Lytechinus pictus: one gene and its partner. Each later gene encodes a partner of the first gene's protein in a complex. Links are inferred from orthologs where the notes say so. Each region holds a gene or a part of one and is shown in the gene's direction. Other genes may lie near its edges.

Region 1 (8,259 bases):
CTTACGTGAAAAGTGTCTGAGAACCTCCATATCTGTTCCCTTACTGAGCCCACCATGTCCCTCAAAGCACTAGGTCCTTCAGGTATCAGCTGGTATTCGGTCTGCTTGGGTTCACTGTATACTGGAAGATCTTTAGGCTTTACCAAGGTTGTTAGGGCCATGTCCTCACCTGGACTTTCACCAGCTCTGACTTGAAGGAGGCCTAGCCCCAGTATGGGCATGGAACCATACCTCAATGCTACAAATACCTGTGAAATTTTAAGCATGAAAATAAGATACTTGTGTCATGAAGATTACAATGAAAGTTACATGCCAGTATGCAACCAGCTTGTTTGTGTTGATTCTATACAACATAAAACAAATACTCCAAAATGTCTTTAAACATCATTACAACAAAAACAATATAGAATTTTAACTACATTCATTTATGATTTATTAAAAAATCCTGGTTTTGACTAATAGATCAACATAAAACAGGTCCATCCTTGATGGGTTTTTAATTAGCAATGAGTGATCAAGGGACTGTTTTATCAATATTCTTTGTCCCACGATCTCATCAATGTTTGTAAAAGAAATAATTGATCACTTGAAAATGGAATTGTATTTACTGAACTTGTCTTTTTCTGTGGGAAAAATTAACAAGGTCACTGATCAATTATTGTTATCATTTGAGAAAATAAAAGATTTTAACTTGTTGAAATTTATTATTATTATTATTATTTTTTTTTTTTTTTGGGGGGGGGGCCTTTTTTCATCTTCCATTTAATTTTTTCTTTGGAATGATGTTGCAAAGTGGTCCAGACTAAAGAAGCATTGCAAGAAATTTTGCGTTCAATTGAAAATCAAGTGCAAGTAAAAAACAACAACAAAACAAAAACTATGCACTGAGTAGCACACCCTAAATTCGACATGTGCTAGTGCCGAGATTTCTTTCTCCCTTTTTGACTTTCGATTCAGAAACCAATAGATGTGAGGGGCTGTACTAGAGTCAATAATCTTAATTAAAAACATGTCAATAATTAAGAGATTGATTCCATCACAGAGAGACTACAGTGTAGTATCTCTGTGATTGAATAGTGTGCTTAATTAAGATCATCGAATCTAGTGTAAAATCTCAAAATACTTTTCATTTTGACTGAGTGGAATTTGTGCAGTGCCCTTGTATTGTAAAGTTTGGTCAGTTTCATTTTGAGTTCAGTTTAAAAGCATTGATACAAAGTTCTTTCAGAGAGCAAGAAAGTTTAGAAAAAAATGGGTGAGCAGCCATGGCATACTGTCTGGACGGGCCAGCCCGAGGCAAGGTTTTTTACAAGAAAATAATCGATCTAGCTAGGCCTATATCTAACGTAGGGCCTAACTTTTCTTAAATCAGATTGTGAATGTTTTGTGAAATAAAAATAAATTCATGTTTAGTTAAGTTACATTTTTATATGGGCAGACATGCCCCCCCCCCTATTTCATACAGTCTCTGTTAATACCTCACTCAGTCCCACTCGTTAAAGAAACTGTTTTTGTAGTGTAACGTTAGAACTCTGCATATTTCATAAATTTTGTACAAACAGTAGAGGCGCACAGCCAATATGGGAGACTCTCCAATCAGGGAGACAATCTCCCATATTGGAGACTTGGGGCCCGTTTCTCAACACCTGGAAAAGTTAATCATATCTTTATCCACCAACCACAGAGTTAGTTCCAATCTTACTAAACCTGTTTCACAAAGGGCTTCCTAACTAGAATCCCTTGATATCGATACTATCGATAGAAAGAGCAGACAAGACGTAGCCTTAGTCACAAAACAGCAGTCTCCCATTATTGGCCGTGCACCTCTAGAGTCTAGACATTGCTTAGACCAAAAGCTTCGGTCTCTGTTATATTGGTTGTTCCGCTTAACTCAGTTGAAGTTAGAACCGAAGTTCTAACTCGATCTGTACAGGGAGCTGGAGTCAGGGACTCAATGACCATATGTTTATGTATAAAGTTCGGACAAACCAAGGAATAGGAGTTGCGAGACAGCCGACGTAAATCACTGTTTTTGTCCTTTTAAGTTTATTTTTTCCTGTTTTGGTGCATTTCGGGCCAAAACAGAATAATATTAATAATCTTTATTTTGGTCCCGTTCTTATTATATATTTTTATGAAATAAAGAAAAAACTCAATGAGCCCTGTCGGGAGGATTTTGCATTTTTATCCTCCGACCCTAATTTAATGGCTGCTGCACGATCGCGAGCCGTCTGTGTACGACTACGAGGAGATATTTTAAAAAAAATACAAATGTAAAAAAAAACTCCTTGAAACGGACGGCTGCCAGCTGTATTGTTGAATTCACACTTTACTCTGCAGCTCTGGGCCTTAGCACCCAAGCCAGGGTTCATTACATGCCACCGCGCACAGAAAAATCAAGCCATAGAAGTCGTGTGTTGTGGACACCAGAAGTGAGATCCCAGCATTCGCGACCCACTAGTTAGAAATCCACTGCCAAACGCGGTTCATGGTGCGAGGTTAGTATACTAGTATTAGTAGGGTGTCTGGAGAAAAAAAATTATTTTTCTTATTTCAAGAAAATATCACATTTTCTTTGTGAATTTGAAGAGAAGTGACCTTCAAACTGACAGAAATGTAACATTTTTGAAAAAATCAAATTATTGGCTGCAAAAAAGAAGAATGAAATTAGGTCAATTTTCAGCATTTCTCTGCCATAGACTGAGTACGGTAGTTAAGAAATGGACACACACAATTCCAAATTTTTAGCTTCCGAGAGCTGTAGTGTTATAAATTTATCATGAATGCCAAAAACTTGTCCATAAAGAGTCCAATAGGATTTTTTATGCTCTTTCTGATGGTATGATTTTTATAAAGATTTGGAAACCAGATCACAATGAAAAATTGTGACAAAGTGAAAAAAATTGTGCAAAACAGACATTTCATTTTCCCATAGAAAACGCATGGGGAAATGGCAATCTCAACACACACACAAATAAGGGTTTGCAATTTATCTCTAAATCCTTATTTAAAATGATCATATAAACTTGTCCTTACTGTCAAAAGAAGCCCCTGAATTTTCTCTTTCCATACATACATGCCAAACACAAGTTAATAATCAATTCAGATCACATTTTTCTAGCAGCCTGGGGCCCGTTTCTCAACACCTGGACAAGTTAGTCATATCTTTATCCACCAACCATGGAGTTAGTTCCAATCTTACTAAACCCGTTTCACGAAAGGCTTCCTAACTAAAATACCTTGATATCGATACTATCGGTAAAATGAGCAGACGAGACGTAGCCTTAGTCACAAAATAGCCTAATTTTCAAAAAGAAAAATTATGACAAAATTGCAAATATTGTGATGAATTGGGAAATACATCTTTTCAAAATAACAGCACATGTAAATTATGGATCATACATACTTAGAACATGAAGATTGGAGCATTCAGTTGCTGAGAAAATTAAATTATTAATAATTCATTTCATGACTAGAAAATCACATGTGGACGTTGAGATGGGTACCCCCGGGACATCTAATTTTAATAGTTTACGAAAGTAAACCATAACGTTTTTCGTTGTAAAATGATGATAATTATACGCCCTTCTACGGTTCCATACATCATCAAACTATAGTTTAATATTTTTTTTTTAATATTTGATACCGAAACATGCAATTTGAGAAATTCTATGCATAAATTAGAGATAGAATTTATCCAAATGTTAATAGGGGTCTGAAAACGACAAATACGAGTCCAGTTATGGATGGCGCCTGACGTGGTAGAATCTTTATCGATTAAATCATTTCACTATTTCAAACTGAATGGTTTTGTGGCGTTTTACTAACAGTTTTCATAGTTTCTTTGTATTAGAATTATTTAATGCATTATCCCACTTGTTTTGTGATGTAATTTCAACCTCTATGATTGATTACGTAAGATCATTATTTTCAAATATCTAGGCAATTTTGCATGTCATAGTCTACCCACGTGATGCCACTACGTCATTAAGAAAGAAGTTATGACAGCTTCGGAGGTGTCATAAATATTTAGTGAGGTTGTTGTACCCGATCTTGGTAAAGAGGGCTTCGTGAAACGGTTAGCGGACAAGTAGCTCACTAACTCCGATTTAGTCAAGAAGTTAGACTTATGACGGTGTTGAGAAACGGGCCCCTGAACTTCCCGAAAAAATGTGCAATTTTTTCCCCTAAATCAGCCTGTTTTATGCTGACACTTTTTAGTGTGGCTTCAGACACCCTAGTCCCTAGTAGTAGTATTAGTAATACTAGTACTAGTACTAACCTCGCAATACGTGTGAGTGGGCCTTTACTCTTTAGTAACCCAGGGAACTCCCGCCCGCGCAGCGGGCGCCCGCTGAGCGGGCGGGAGCTCCCTGGGGCTGGGTTAGGCCTTTAGACTTAGTAGATCCAACACGTTAGATCTCGTAGAGAATTTGATTTAACTTCAACTCAGCTAGCTCAGACCACTCTCAGAAACAATTCGTAGCGTAGGCAGACGTCAAACATGCCCCCCCCCCCCTATTTCATACATATTTTTACAGTCTCACTCACTGCTCAGCTCAGTCCCACTCGTTGAAGAAACTGTTTTTGTGTAGGACCTAACTGTATTGTAACGTTAGAACTCTGCATATTTCGCTCAGTATTCAGAAATAAACGCCATCATAAATTTTGTGTAAATATGGTATTACTATACCTGTCTAGACATTGCTGAATTCACACTTTACCCTGGGCCTTTAGTACTAGATCAAGTAGAGAATTTGATTTATCTTCGACTGACGACTCAGTCTCGTCTCAGAAACAATTCGTGGACTATAACTAACCGAACCGGATACGTGAACCGATATACGGGCTCCATATCCGGGCGGTACCGTACGTGTCATCAAGTACCGTACCGGTTTAAAATCGAGTCGATATCTGTTCAAGATGGCAGCGCCCGGTGCACTCGTCAACAAGAAACGTCGGGAATTCATGAACATGCCCGCTCCATTGGGCTATGTTCCTGGATTGGGTAGAGGGTATGTAGATAAATGTATTGTTCCTTTTTAGACTAGTCAACAAGCGCCAGTGTACCGTACATTTTTCAGTTCGGTATCTGGACATATTATAGCATGTATAGTAATAGCACTGACTGTCTGTACCGCCACCGTAACCTGAGCCTCAACCTAGCCTTGCCTGCCCCGGGCCCCGCTTGGCCGGCTGGCCATGATCTGAACTTCGCCTCGGCCGCGCCGATAACCGTTTCGGTTTCGTCAGCTCAGCGCAACCTCGGGCTCAGACTCAGTCAGACTTGTGAGGTGATACTGATACGTTGTTGTTTGTTGGGTATAAAATAGTTAATGGCGGCCAGTCATATTCTACCGCCAGTTCATTACTTTTTTTCCTTCTTTCTTTTCCAACTCCAAGATTATGAAGATAAAAAACAAGAAACAAAAAGTTTTCGTTTCTTTTTTCCTTCCTCTCTATCCTTGGCTTTTTTCTTTTCCTAAATCTTTACTCTCCCACTTTTCTTATATTTTTTAGATCTAAGTTAGAAGTCTAGGTCATTTAGGTGATTTATTGAATATTAAATTTATTCTTATTGTTATTATCCTAACTTACATGATCGTATCTTACAGGGGCCCGTTTCTCAACACATGGACAAGTTAGTCATATCTTTATCCACCAACCGCGGAGTTAGTTCCAATCTTACTAAACCTGTTTCTCGAAAGGCTTCCTAACTAGAATACCTTGATATCGATACTATCGGTAAAAACAGCAGACGAGACGTAGCCTTAGTCACAAAATAGCATAATTTTCAAAAAGAAAAATTATGACAAAATTGCAAATATTGTGATAAATTGGGAAATAAATCTTTTCAAAATAATAGCACAGGTGAATTATGCATCGTACATACTTAGACCATGAAGACTGGATCATTCAATTACAGAGAAAATTAAATTATGAATCATTCATTTCATGACTAAAAAGTCACTTATGGACGTTGAGATGGGTATCCCCGGGATATCCAATTTTGATAGTTTACAAAAGTAAACCATAACGGTTTTCTTTGTAAAATGATGATAATTATACGGTCTTTTACGATTCCAAACGTCATCAAAATGTAGTTCAATGAAACATTTTTAATCATTGCGGATACCGAAACATACGATATTTGACAAATTGAATGCATGAATTAGAGATAGAATTTATCCAACTGTCTGAAAGGGGTCTGAAAACAACAAATATGAGTTCAGTTATGGATGGCCTGACGTGGTAGAATATTTATCGATTAAATCATTTTACTATTTCAAAATGAATGGTTTTGTGGCGTCTTACCAACAGTTTTTATAGTTTCATTGTATTACAATTATCATTGAATGCATTAACCCACTTGTTTTGTGATGTAATTTCAACCTATATGATTGATTACGTAAGATTATAATTGCAAAATTTCTAGGCACTTTTGCATGTCATAGTCTACCCACGTGATGCCATACGTCATTAAGAAAGAAGTTATGACAGGTTCGGAGGTGTCATAAATATTTAGTGAGGTTGTTGTACCCGATCTTGGTAAAGAGGGCTTCGTGAAACGGTTAGCGGACAAGTAGCTCACTATCTCCGATTTAGTCAAGAAGTTAGACTTATGACGGTGTTGAGAAACGGGCCCCTGGGGCCAGTTTCTCAACACCTGGACAAGTTTGTCATATCTTTATCCACCAACCACTCTTACTAAACCTGTTTCTCAAAAGGCTTCCTAACTAGAATACCTTGATATCGATACTATCGATAAAAAGAGAAAACTAGACGTAGCCTTAGTCACAAAATATCATAATTTTCAAAAAGAAAAATTATGACAAAATTGCAAATATTGTGATGAATTGGGAAATAAATCTTTTCAAAATAATAGCACAGGTGAATTATGCATCATACATACTTAGACCATGAAGACTAGAGCATTCAATTGCAGAGAAAATTAAATTATGAATAATTAATTTCATGACTAAAAAATCACTTCTGGACGTTGAGATGGGTACCCCCGGGATATCCAATTTCAATAGTTTACGAAAGTAAACCATGATGGGTTTTTTTGTAAAATGATTATAATTATACGGTCTCTTACGATTCCAAACATCATCAAAATATAGAATAACAAAACATTTTTAATCATTGATACCGAAACATACGATATTTGACAAATTATATGCATAAATTAGAGATAGAATTTATCCAACTGTTAATAGGGGTCTGAAAACAACAAATACAAGTTCAGTTATGGATGGCCTGACGTGCTAGAATCTTTATCGAATCTTTATCGATTAAATCATTTTACTATTTCAAAATGAATGGTTTTGTGGCGTTTTACCAACAGTTTTTATAGTTTCTTTGTATTACAATTATCATTGAATGCATATCCCACTTGTTTTGTGATGTCCTTTTCAACCTCTATGATCGATTACGTAAGATTATAATTTAAAATTTCTAGGCACTTTTGCATGTCATAGTCTACCCACGTGATGCCACTACGTCATCGAGAAAGAAGTTATGACAGGTTCGGATGTGTCATAAATATTTAGTGAGGTTGTTGTACCCGATCTTGGTAAAGAGGGCTTTGTGAAATGGTTAGCGGACAAGTAGCTCACTATCTCCGATTTAGTCAAGAAGTTAGACTTATGACGGTGTTGAGAAACGGGCCCCAGATTACCCGGATCCTGTCCCTCGTTCGATAGTGAGTGATTGTATTACCTACCGGCCTTGTATTACCGCACACGCGCAGCGTACGCGTCAGAAAATAATTTCATATGCTCTAAACTTTGCAACATCCTTCCAAAGAGAACTTGAATAGAAAGATGATGAAAAATGGTCAAAAGCACATTTTCAAAAAATCTTAATATTCTAAAAATAATAAAATATGGTCAAAATAGCCCATTAGTGATTTTGTTGGGTTCTCAATTTTTCCCATAGAAAACACACGTTCGGTAATACCATACCTTTTTCAAGTGACCAAAATATTTCATGCGAAGAGGGGTCCGATTGGAAGCTAATACCGTAAAATAAAAAAACGATTTCAGCAAAATTTTTACATATTTATATTTTGTAGGTAATTATGTATTTTTGGTGAAAGATTTATGAATTTTAAGAGAATAATGTGTTTGATATGACTGAATTCATGAAAAGTGTTCGGTAATACGATCCACTACCATACTCCAGACGTCCTGTCTCTTCATTGCTGACAGGGGGCTTCCTTTGACCTTTGGGATACTCTAATATCAATTATTGAAA
Region 2 (8,273 bases), on another chromosome or scaffold:
AGGATTCATGTGGCCTTTGGTATGGACTCCTGCTTCTGGCTCCCCTGTTTCTTCTGAACATTGTGTGATGATTGGATCCTTAACTGAAAAATAATAATGATTGTGAAGATCATAAGTTGTTTGTTTCTTAAATATGGAGATTCCATTTTTCATTACTAGTTATCACTCTCGGTCTCAAGGGAGAAATTAAATTAAAGTCAAACCTGCTACATTGACCACCTGTAGCCTAAGACTGCAAAAGGGTCTTCCTTGAATATCATTCCCAATTAAAACATGCTGGAAAGGAACCTTTAAACAAAGACCAACTGCTTACAAGTATAAAGACAGCTTTTGTCTCTAATAAGACTAATTGATGGTCTCCATCGATAGGTTCACTCTCTTATCAACAAGAGTGTCGCTGAGGCAAGCACATAATCTGCCTGCCTGTAAAGCGGAAAATGGAGTTATTGGTCAAGCAAGAAAAGTGGAAGGTGGTGACTTCACCTTTGACCTTCTGACCTCAAAATCAATAGAATTCCTGGGATCTATGTTAGTATCATACACACCAAATTATATTAGCCTAGGTTGAGTTAAACTTATATCGCGTTTACAAGGACTGCAGAAGGGTACAATGAAAACATGTCACTGTGACCTTGGCCTTTTGAACTCAAAATCAATAGGCTTCCTGGGATCCATGCTAGTATCATACACACCAAATTAAACTGAAGTTTTCGCGTTAACAAGGAAACCTGAACGGATGGAGAGACAGACGGACAAAGAGCATGATACCATAATACTTCCCGTCTAGGATGGGTATATAAAAAGATTAATAATTCAAAATATAAAGCCCCCCTTTCTGCCAAACCTGTATAAATTTATATACACTATCTCATATTGAAACTTTAATGTATTATTGAAGAATTATGATCTATTTCTGCAATTTTCACATACAGTAACCGTATGACCTTTGGGCTATATTGACATCTACTTCTAATAAAATCAACCTCCTTACTAAAAAAGAGTAAAGTTTTAAAATAATCTGTCTCATTATGGTTTTTCAGTTATCAAAAGGCACGAATTGGAAGGAAAAAAATCCCAAAACAACTAACTCTCGTATAAATTTTTGAATTTTCAATTATTGATCTAATATTTCAATGAATTGAAGATTTTCATTCTTCACGACATAGATGATCATTTACATGTTAGAATAAAACTCAATTATTTTAATAAAAGAGGGGGTATTACCACACACACCCCCACACACACCCACCCTCACACATACAACACATACCTACCATTCTTTGGGAGAGATGGCTCAAATTCTTCCAACGTCTTGACAGCGATGCTTAATCTCTGTTCGCGTAGAATTTTCTGAAGTTTCTTGGATGATTCGAGGCTTGATCCTTCTCTATTCCTCCACCTTATAAAGCACTGAAAGAGAGCTTCTTTGTAGTTTGGTGGTTTATTGCCACCAACTAAGTTGGAATATTCAACATCGCTTCCTGTGAGTTTCCGGCCAAGTGGATCAGCGTACTTTGGGCAGTCAATCTGGGAGGACAAGTCCAGCAAAAATCTATCATTACCCAAACAATTTGGTTGTTCTCCTTGTCCTGTAAATAAAAATAAATGCTATGTAAATAGGAGAATCATGAATATTTAGACTGCAATAGGTAGTCTACTTTATCAATATTCATTTACTATTTTTTTAATCTATTAATTTATTCATTTTCTTTTTTTTAATAGTCAATGACAATTATGCTGTTCTTTTTATGCATGTACAATACAAGCTTGAAATAATGAGTTAAGAGTTGGTGGTTATCAACTTTGATGAAATTACTCAGGCAAAGTACACCAATCCCCCCCAAAAAAAAAAACCCAAACTAAATAAATAAACAAACAAACAAATAAATAAATAAATAAAAAAAGGGAAAAAATAAAACAACCATATTAATAAAGCGATTAAAAAACTCCCTTTCTCTTTTATTACAATTTGGTTCTCAGTGACAAAAAAAGTGATAATTTTTGTCACAAAAACTAACACACCAAAAGATTAATGTGGAGAAAATGATACAATTTTCATTTATTTTCATTGTTATTAATCTAAGGGGCTAAGTTTATGCACCTCTCCGCCATCTATGCTACCATGTCTTATTTAATAAAATTCAAAATCATGTTGCAAGACTTCATTGTCATTTTTTTAAATTGGGTCACTTGTCATTTCTTGCAATTTATGTAACATTAACTTAATCACCATAGGAAACAATTGTATCAACTTACTTTTTTGAAACCAGGTTGCAACATCTGTCAATCCAAACTTGTTTAGAATCATAATCATTTCCCTGCACTGGCCATCTCCACATCCATTTGCATCTCTCCATTTAATAAAGCACTTGAAAACAACATTTTTATAGTCAACCGACGTTTTTCCAATAATATTGGCAACCTCAGCATTGGATTCTAATAAAGCAAGGCCAAGCTCACCATAGTTCTCAGGAGCATTGATAGTTTCAGAGAGTTCATATATTTTTCCGTCCTCAGATAAAAATGATGATATCTGTTGGCCCCCAGCAGCCATTCTGAAATTAAAGAAAGGAAAGTGGGATGAAACAAGACCAAGGTCAAGGATACCTCAGGTGATGGTTCGTATAGGCTCCACTACACTTCAGCTGAGAGTAGCGGTAGTGAAGTGTAGTGGAGCCTGGGGGAGGGGGGGGGGGCCCAGTCAAATTATGTTTTTCTCTGTGTGCAAAATAACCCCCTAAACAAGGATTTTGCGGGCTTCTTTTACACATTTTGGCCTCTAAACAAGTTGTCGAATATGATCCCCAAACAAGTTTAATCTACTTGCTAAAAATAAGCTATAGACAAAACTATATTCATGGGTATTGCATGCCCCCCGGTATAGGGTTAAAATCCAACAATCAGGAAGAACCAAAACACTTTTCAGAAACGAGGAAAAAGCCCTATAGGGTAAGAGCTTGGGGGGAAAAACATACCCTAAACACGTTTGGCTAGTCTTTAAAAAAAAGCTTTGGAAAAAAAAATACCCTAAATATGTTTGACCCAGCGATTGACCATTGACCAGTTTTTCAAAACAACCCTTTTTGGAAAAACGGTGTTTTTGATACCCTTAACGAGTGCACGCACAGCCCGTGTACAAAACTGAAAAAACACCATTTTAAGTTTAAACGCATTTTTTTGGTCACGCGTGTGTACAGCAATATATTTGACTGGCCCCCCGGGCCTATACGAACTATTGCCTGAGTTAGGTCAAGGAGAAACTGACCCATTTGAAAACCAGAAATTGGTTGGTCCTTTAAAAGCAAATAGGAATTAAATAGGCCTAGTCTAATTCAATAGTCAACAGAGATCAATATAGTTCTGATAGAACTCATAGATGCTCAAGGCTAAGTTACATGATACTGTATCATGTAACTTAGCTTGATACATCACAAAAGGAAAGGTAGCACATCTACTCCAAAATTGAAAAAGAAGATGAGCAAGGGCTTAAATTTAATAATCCAAATTCCAAGAAACACCATCAAAGACCATGGCCTATAACAGTTATACTCGTCAGACCTAACATTAGATCATGGATTGATCCTACTAGTATAGACCAAAAGCTTCGGTCTCTGTTATGTTGGTTGTTCAGCTGAACTCCGTTGGCTTCACTCACCAAATACAGAGACCGAAGTTCTAGCGCGATCTGTACAGGGGACTCAATGGCCATATGTTTATGTGTATTAAGTTTAAATAAAACAGGGCAGTGAAGTTGCGCGACAGCCGAGGTAAGTCACTGTTTTTGTTCCTTTTAACTTGATTTTCCCCGTTTTTTGGCAATTAATGCCAAGAGGGGATATTAATTTGCATTTCGGTCGCGTTAATTTTCAAAAGTTTGATTCATTCAAGACAAAAATTGAAGAGCCCCGACGGGGGGATTTTGCATTGTAAGTCCCCTAATGGTGGCTGCACGATAGCGAGCCGTCAGTGTATGAGGAGAAATTAAAAAAATAAAAAAATGTTAAAAAACTCCTCGAAACAGACGGCTGCCAGCTGTCTACTACTAGTACTACTCGAATCCATGTTGTTAGATCTAATGTTAGTCTACCTGCTACCTAACACATGTTTTAACAAGTTAATGGTTTAAGAATAAATGCATCTAGGATAATTTCTATTTCTAAACTTAAATTATAAGTTACCTCGGCTCAATTCAGTCACAGACACATGCACAGTTATATTAATATATATAGTTACGGACTTGGTTGTAAATGTAATGCCTTTTGAAATCGAAAATGAACTGGATCGAATGATGTATAGTAGATATCGCACTGGTTACGAACTTGGAAAGAGAGTTTGCTGGGATGAGCTTCTCCGCTTTATAGCTTTAGAACTTCACAAAATATGGCGTTGACTGGGCTTTGTCACAATTCGTGTGTGTTATTTGTGGCCGGTGGGAATCGCTCGGGAATTCCCCCAAACTTAGTCTGCTCTACAGCTTTGTGTGAATATTATTATTTAAAACTAGATTAAATTTCATTATAAATTCGAAGAAGATTAGAAAAAATTGAAAAGAAGAAATAAATATAAACATAATGAAATTATCTAAGTCGAATCAAACCCCCTGTATCCCAAATTACTTCACATAGAAGATAAAGAAAATTAATTGCAAGCTGCGTACTGACCCTGCCAGTTAACCATTAACACTAGCTTCACGCGAGAACTTTGACCATATTTTCCGGCGCTGCATTGCTAGCCGCTCATTTCCAGCTCCATAAGAAGGGTGAATATATAAGCATTAGATTTTGCCATAAATAAGGTTTATTTTTCTATATATATGTGGTATGGTAGTAAAAGACCCCATTGTGTTGACGGTACTTGTGTTTCCTCTTTTTTAGAATGATTAAGGTGTCGTTAAGACGTACTTATGTTTGCAATGACAAGATGATGACGAAAGTCAAATCAGACTTTGTCATTTTTTACTTCGGTCCCAGCCATAGCTATTGGTGTAGACCGATAAACAGTAGAGGCGCTGGTCCCGCGATCCCGCAATTAAAAGCTCTGTCTCAAAAGATTGGGATTGTCCCACTCATTCTATGAACAAGGTTATGATATACATGAACCTTGTTCTTATTTTCTCTTTTTTTTGGGGGGGGGGGGAGGGGACAAATGCTTGATTTTTTTGACACTGTCAGTTTCCATTACAGGCAAATTGAAATAGTAAATACAGCTACATTTCATCATATTCTCAAAGTAAATTTGATTCTTAAAATAGAGATTGAAAATGACAATTATCTTGCCATAGTACTTTCCACCGTCTATTTTTCACGACTTGCCGTCTTCCAATAATCTTGTTATGAAACCTGATATGTTTACATTGACTAGCACACTTGATTGGCGTCGGCACTTGACAGAAAAATTTCCTAGATTTCTTGTGATAATGTTTGCCAAAACTCATTTTTGTTACTCGCAAGCTCACCGGGGCACATCCGGTGAGTAGTTATAGTACAAATTATAAATATATTAAAATTTTACGCTTTTAAATTCAATGAAAAATAGCAAAATTGCTTACCTCGGCCTGAAAAGTGGTTTTGCATGTTTATTGAACCACGGAAGTAAAAGGAAGCCCGATGGCGCTAATAAATTTCATAACCTTTATTCAACTCATCGGTAGTTTTAAAACTGTGTCTAAGTTCAATTCCTATGATTGTTTGATAAAATATGGACACCAATAAATGCATTACCTTCCAAACATATTTTTAGATTATTATTACTGACGATAACACTTTTTTAAATCATTCAAAGCAATGACAAATTAACAAAAAATAAAATTCTATGTGCCTTGAACAAAACCAGCAGTGCGAGCCGTTGTTCGTTTGTCAACAAACAGTCCACCAAAGTCTACAATGAAAAGACTGGACACTTTGCCATCTTCGCGTAACGCTTTGCATCAATTTGCGTGTAAAGTAATGTCTTTACCCTGTAGTGTCTTTGATATGAATATAAATTGCACGCCCTCCTTAGTTGAAAATTGCTGTTCAAGGAGGGGCACAGCACAGACATCAACAGCAAGGAAAAATATTCTTTATTCAAAGTCAAGTTAGAAAAAAGTCACCAAAGAGAATATATATCATTCGGTAAGTGAAATAGAACAATTTGACTTTATTTTAGATTTTGTCAAAATACCAAATTTCGCGCAATCCCATGGATGGAAGTGTTCCATCTGGACTCCAGGAATCTCCAAAGAAGTGGAGGGATCAGCTAAGAGAGAGAGTTGCATGCATCGTGCCTTGATTTTCCTGTGCATCGTGGCATGTAATGAACGTATGGGTGTTTGCCTTGATTTGCAGATAGTGTTTGGAAAATTGTGTACTGAGGAAAGGTAGTCAAAAAGTCAGTCCAAGTTGAAGATGTAAGTCTGAAATGAATGAAAGTCTGAAGTTTATATAATTCGGCTCTATAGGTTTGCCTTATACTCTCGCATAGATATAATTTCTATAATTGTTATATAGCTTTATTTTGTTCTCACTCCAGTCAATTTTTCTACTTTGTCACCAGCTCTGAGAGTTGCTGTTTTATTTGGTGATCCTCAAACTTGGATGAACAGCTGTGTCAGGTAGTGACCGACTAGCTCTGTGCATCATGAGTACTGCTACTACTACAGCCAGGAAACAAACTCCTAGTGATTTCTTAAAGCAAATCATCGGCAAACCAGTTGTTGTCAAACTAAATTCAGGTGTAGATTACAGAGGTAAGAAAAGGGCATACTTCTCTCAGGACTTTCATTTTCTTCTTTTTTTCTTCTAGGTCTATACAGTATATTTAAAAAATCTGGTGTTTATTCCTTTTTTCTTTATGCTCCCTTTTCCCCTTTCTTCCTCAATTGCATCTATGGCTTTTGTATGTGTATTCATTCTCCTGCTAATCTTGTTTATTTTTCCCATCTTTTTTCATACTTTCCCCATTTTTTTCCTTATTTTTTATCACCTTCCTGCTTCTATTTCTTCATAAAAATAAAAAATCATCATATATATTTTTGAAATTGTAAAAAATTGGTGTTCATCCTGTGTCTTTGTATCCAGACACACTATTACATGCAAGCTTCTATAAAAGACATATTAATTCATTGTGAACTGTAAATAACGCAATATGTAAAATTTCGAATAAACAACAAATATCATGGATCAGCTCACAGATGATGTCACAGAATAATCAGAACAGAAAATTTGTTATAAAGTTTATAGTCTTCATATTATCCTTCTGTATCTAATGTAAAAAATTGTAATCTCATGAAATTTATATTATTCAATTTTTTTTCAATTTATTTTATTTCATTTTATTATCATTTTACTAGTACTAGTAGTATTTTTTTTCTTATTGTCATTTTTATTATTATTATTATCATTATTATTATTATTATTATTATTATTACTATTATTATCATCATCATCATCATCTTCGTCATCATCACCATCGTCATCATCATCACCATTATCATCATCACCATCATCATCTTTGTCATCATCACCATCATCATTAAGTACTATCATTACTACCATCTTTTTTTACAGGAGTTCTTGCCTGCTTGGATGGATACATGAACATCGCCTTGGAGCAGACAGAAGAGTATGTCAACGGTCAGCTCAAGAACAAATATGGTGACGCTTTCATCAGGGGAAATAATGGTATGCTCTATTGACACCTTAAAACTAACCCCAAACCGACTAATGCTATCCAATATTTCTCTTCACATGTTAGTCAATTTGCATTATTCAGTGTTTCATAATGCATGCTGCGCCGCCAGCATTCATTGTCATGAGAGGCTTGCTGGTCGACACACTTTTTCCGTAGACGTATAAAATAGCATGGGCCGTGGTCTGCAAGTCAAGTGAAAACTGAAATATATCCAACCGAAGGATAAATCAGTGGTGGATCCAAGGGGGGGGGGGGGGGGGCACAGCCGGCCTGTCCCCCCCCCTCCCTTTGAGAGCCATAATCAACATTTCTAATGTAAAATATATACTGGTTTTACCCGCTTTTGAAAGTGAAGACCTTTTTTTTTTGCTTGTCAAATTTTCAATTTACATTTCATCTTAACCATTATAATGGGGAATGCATGATAGCCACTATGAAAAAAAACACATAAAACAGGGAATCAGTTTTATAATTATGAGGGGAGCAATAAAAAGCTCTCCTAAAACTTTAAGGGGAGTGGTAGGGGAGCACGGCAAAAAGCTCTTATTTTACATTTCAAAGGGAGCTTTTTTTTGTCCGATTAATGGATAGAGGAATGTACA

Evidence for each region.
Region 2: pre-mRNA-processing factor 6-like (region 1) and U6 snRNA-associated Sm-like protein LSm6 share a complex: the UniProt entries of both Homo sapiens proteins name them as parts of the U4/U6-U5 tri-snRNP complex. The link is inferred for Lytechinus pictus from reciprocal best matches to the Homo sapiens genes PRPF6 and LSM6.

The regions. Positions count from the first base shown.
Region 1 is NC_087245.1:8,319,632-8,327,890, forward strand, and holds the start of pre-mRNA-processing factor 6-like, read left to right. Parts: upstream 1-4,858; 5' UTR 4,859-4,923; coding exon 4,924-5,015; exon of another isoform or gene 5,016-5,021; intron 5,022-8,259. Other genes in the region: MICOS complex subunit MIC27-like, read right to left, coding at 6-248, 4,694-4,705. UniProt on the Homo sapiens protein: Involved in pre-mRNA splicing as component of the U4/U6-U5 tri-snRNP complex, one of the building blocks of the spliceosome.
Region 2 is NC_087249.1:11,245,454-11,253,726, reverse strand, and holds the start of U6 snRNA-associated Sm-like protein LSm6, read left to right. Parts: upstream 1-4,680; 5' UTR 4,681-4,759; intron 4,760-6,534; 5' UTR 6,535-6,618; coding exon 6,619-6,727; intron 6,728-7,547; coding exon 7,548-7,661; intron 7,662-8,273. Other genes in the region: uncharacterized protein LOC129260504, read right to left, coding at 1-83, 1,275-1,589, 2,257-2,554. UniProt on the Homo sapiens protein: Plays a role in pre-mRNA splicing as component of the U4/U6-U5 tri-snRNP complex that is involved in spliceosome assembly, and as component of the precatalytic spliceosome (spliceosome B complex).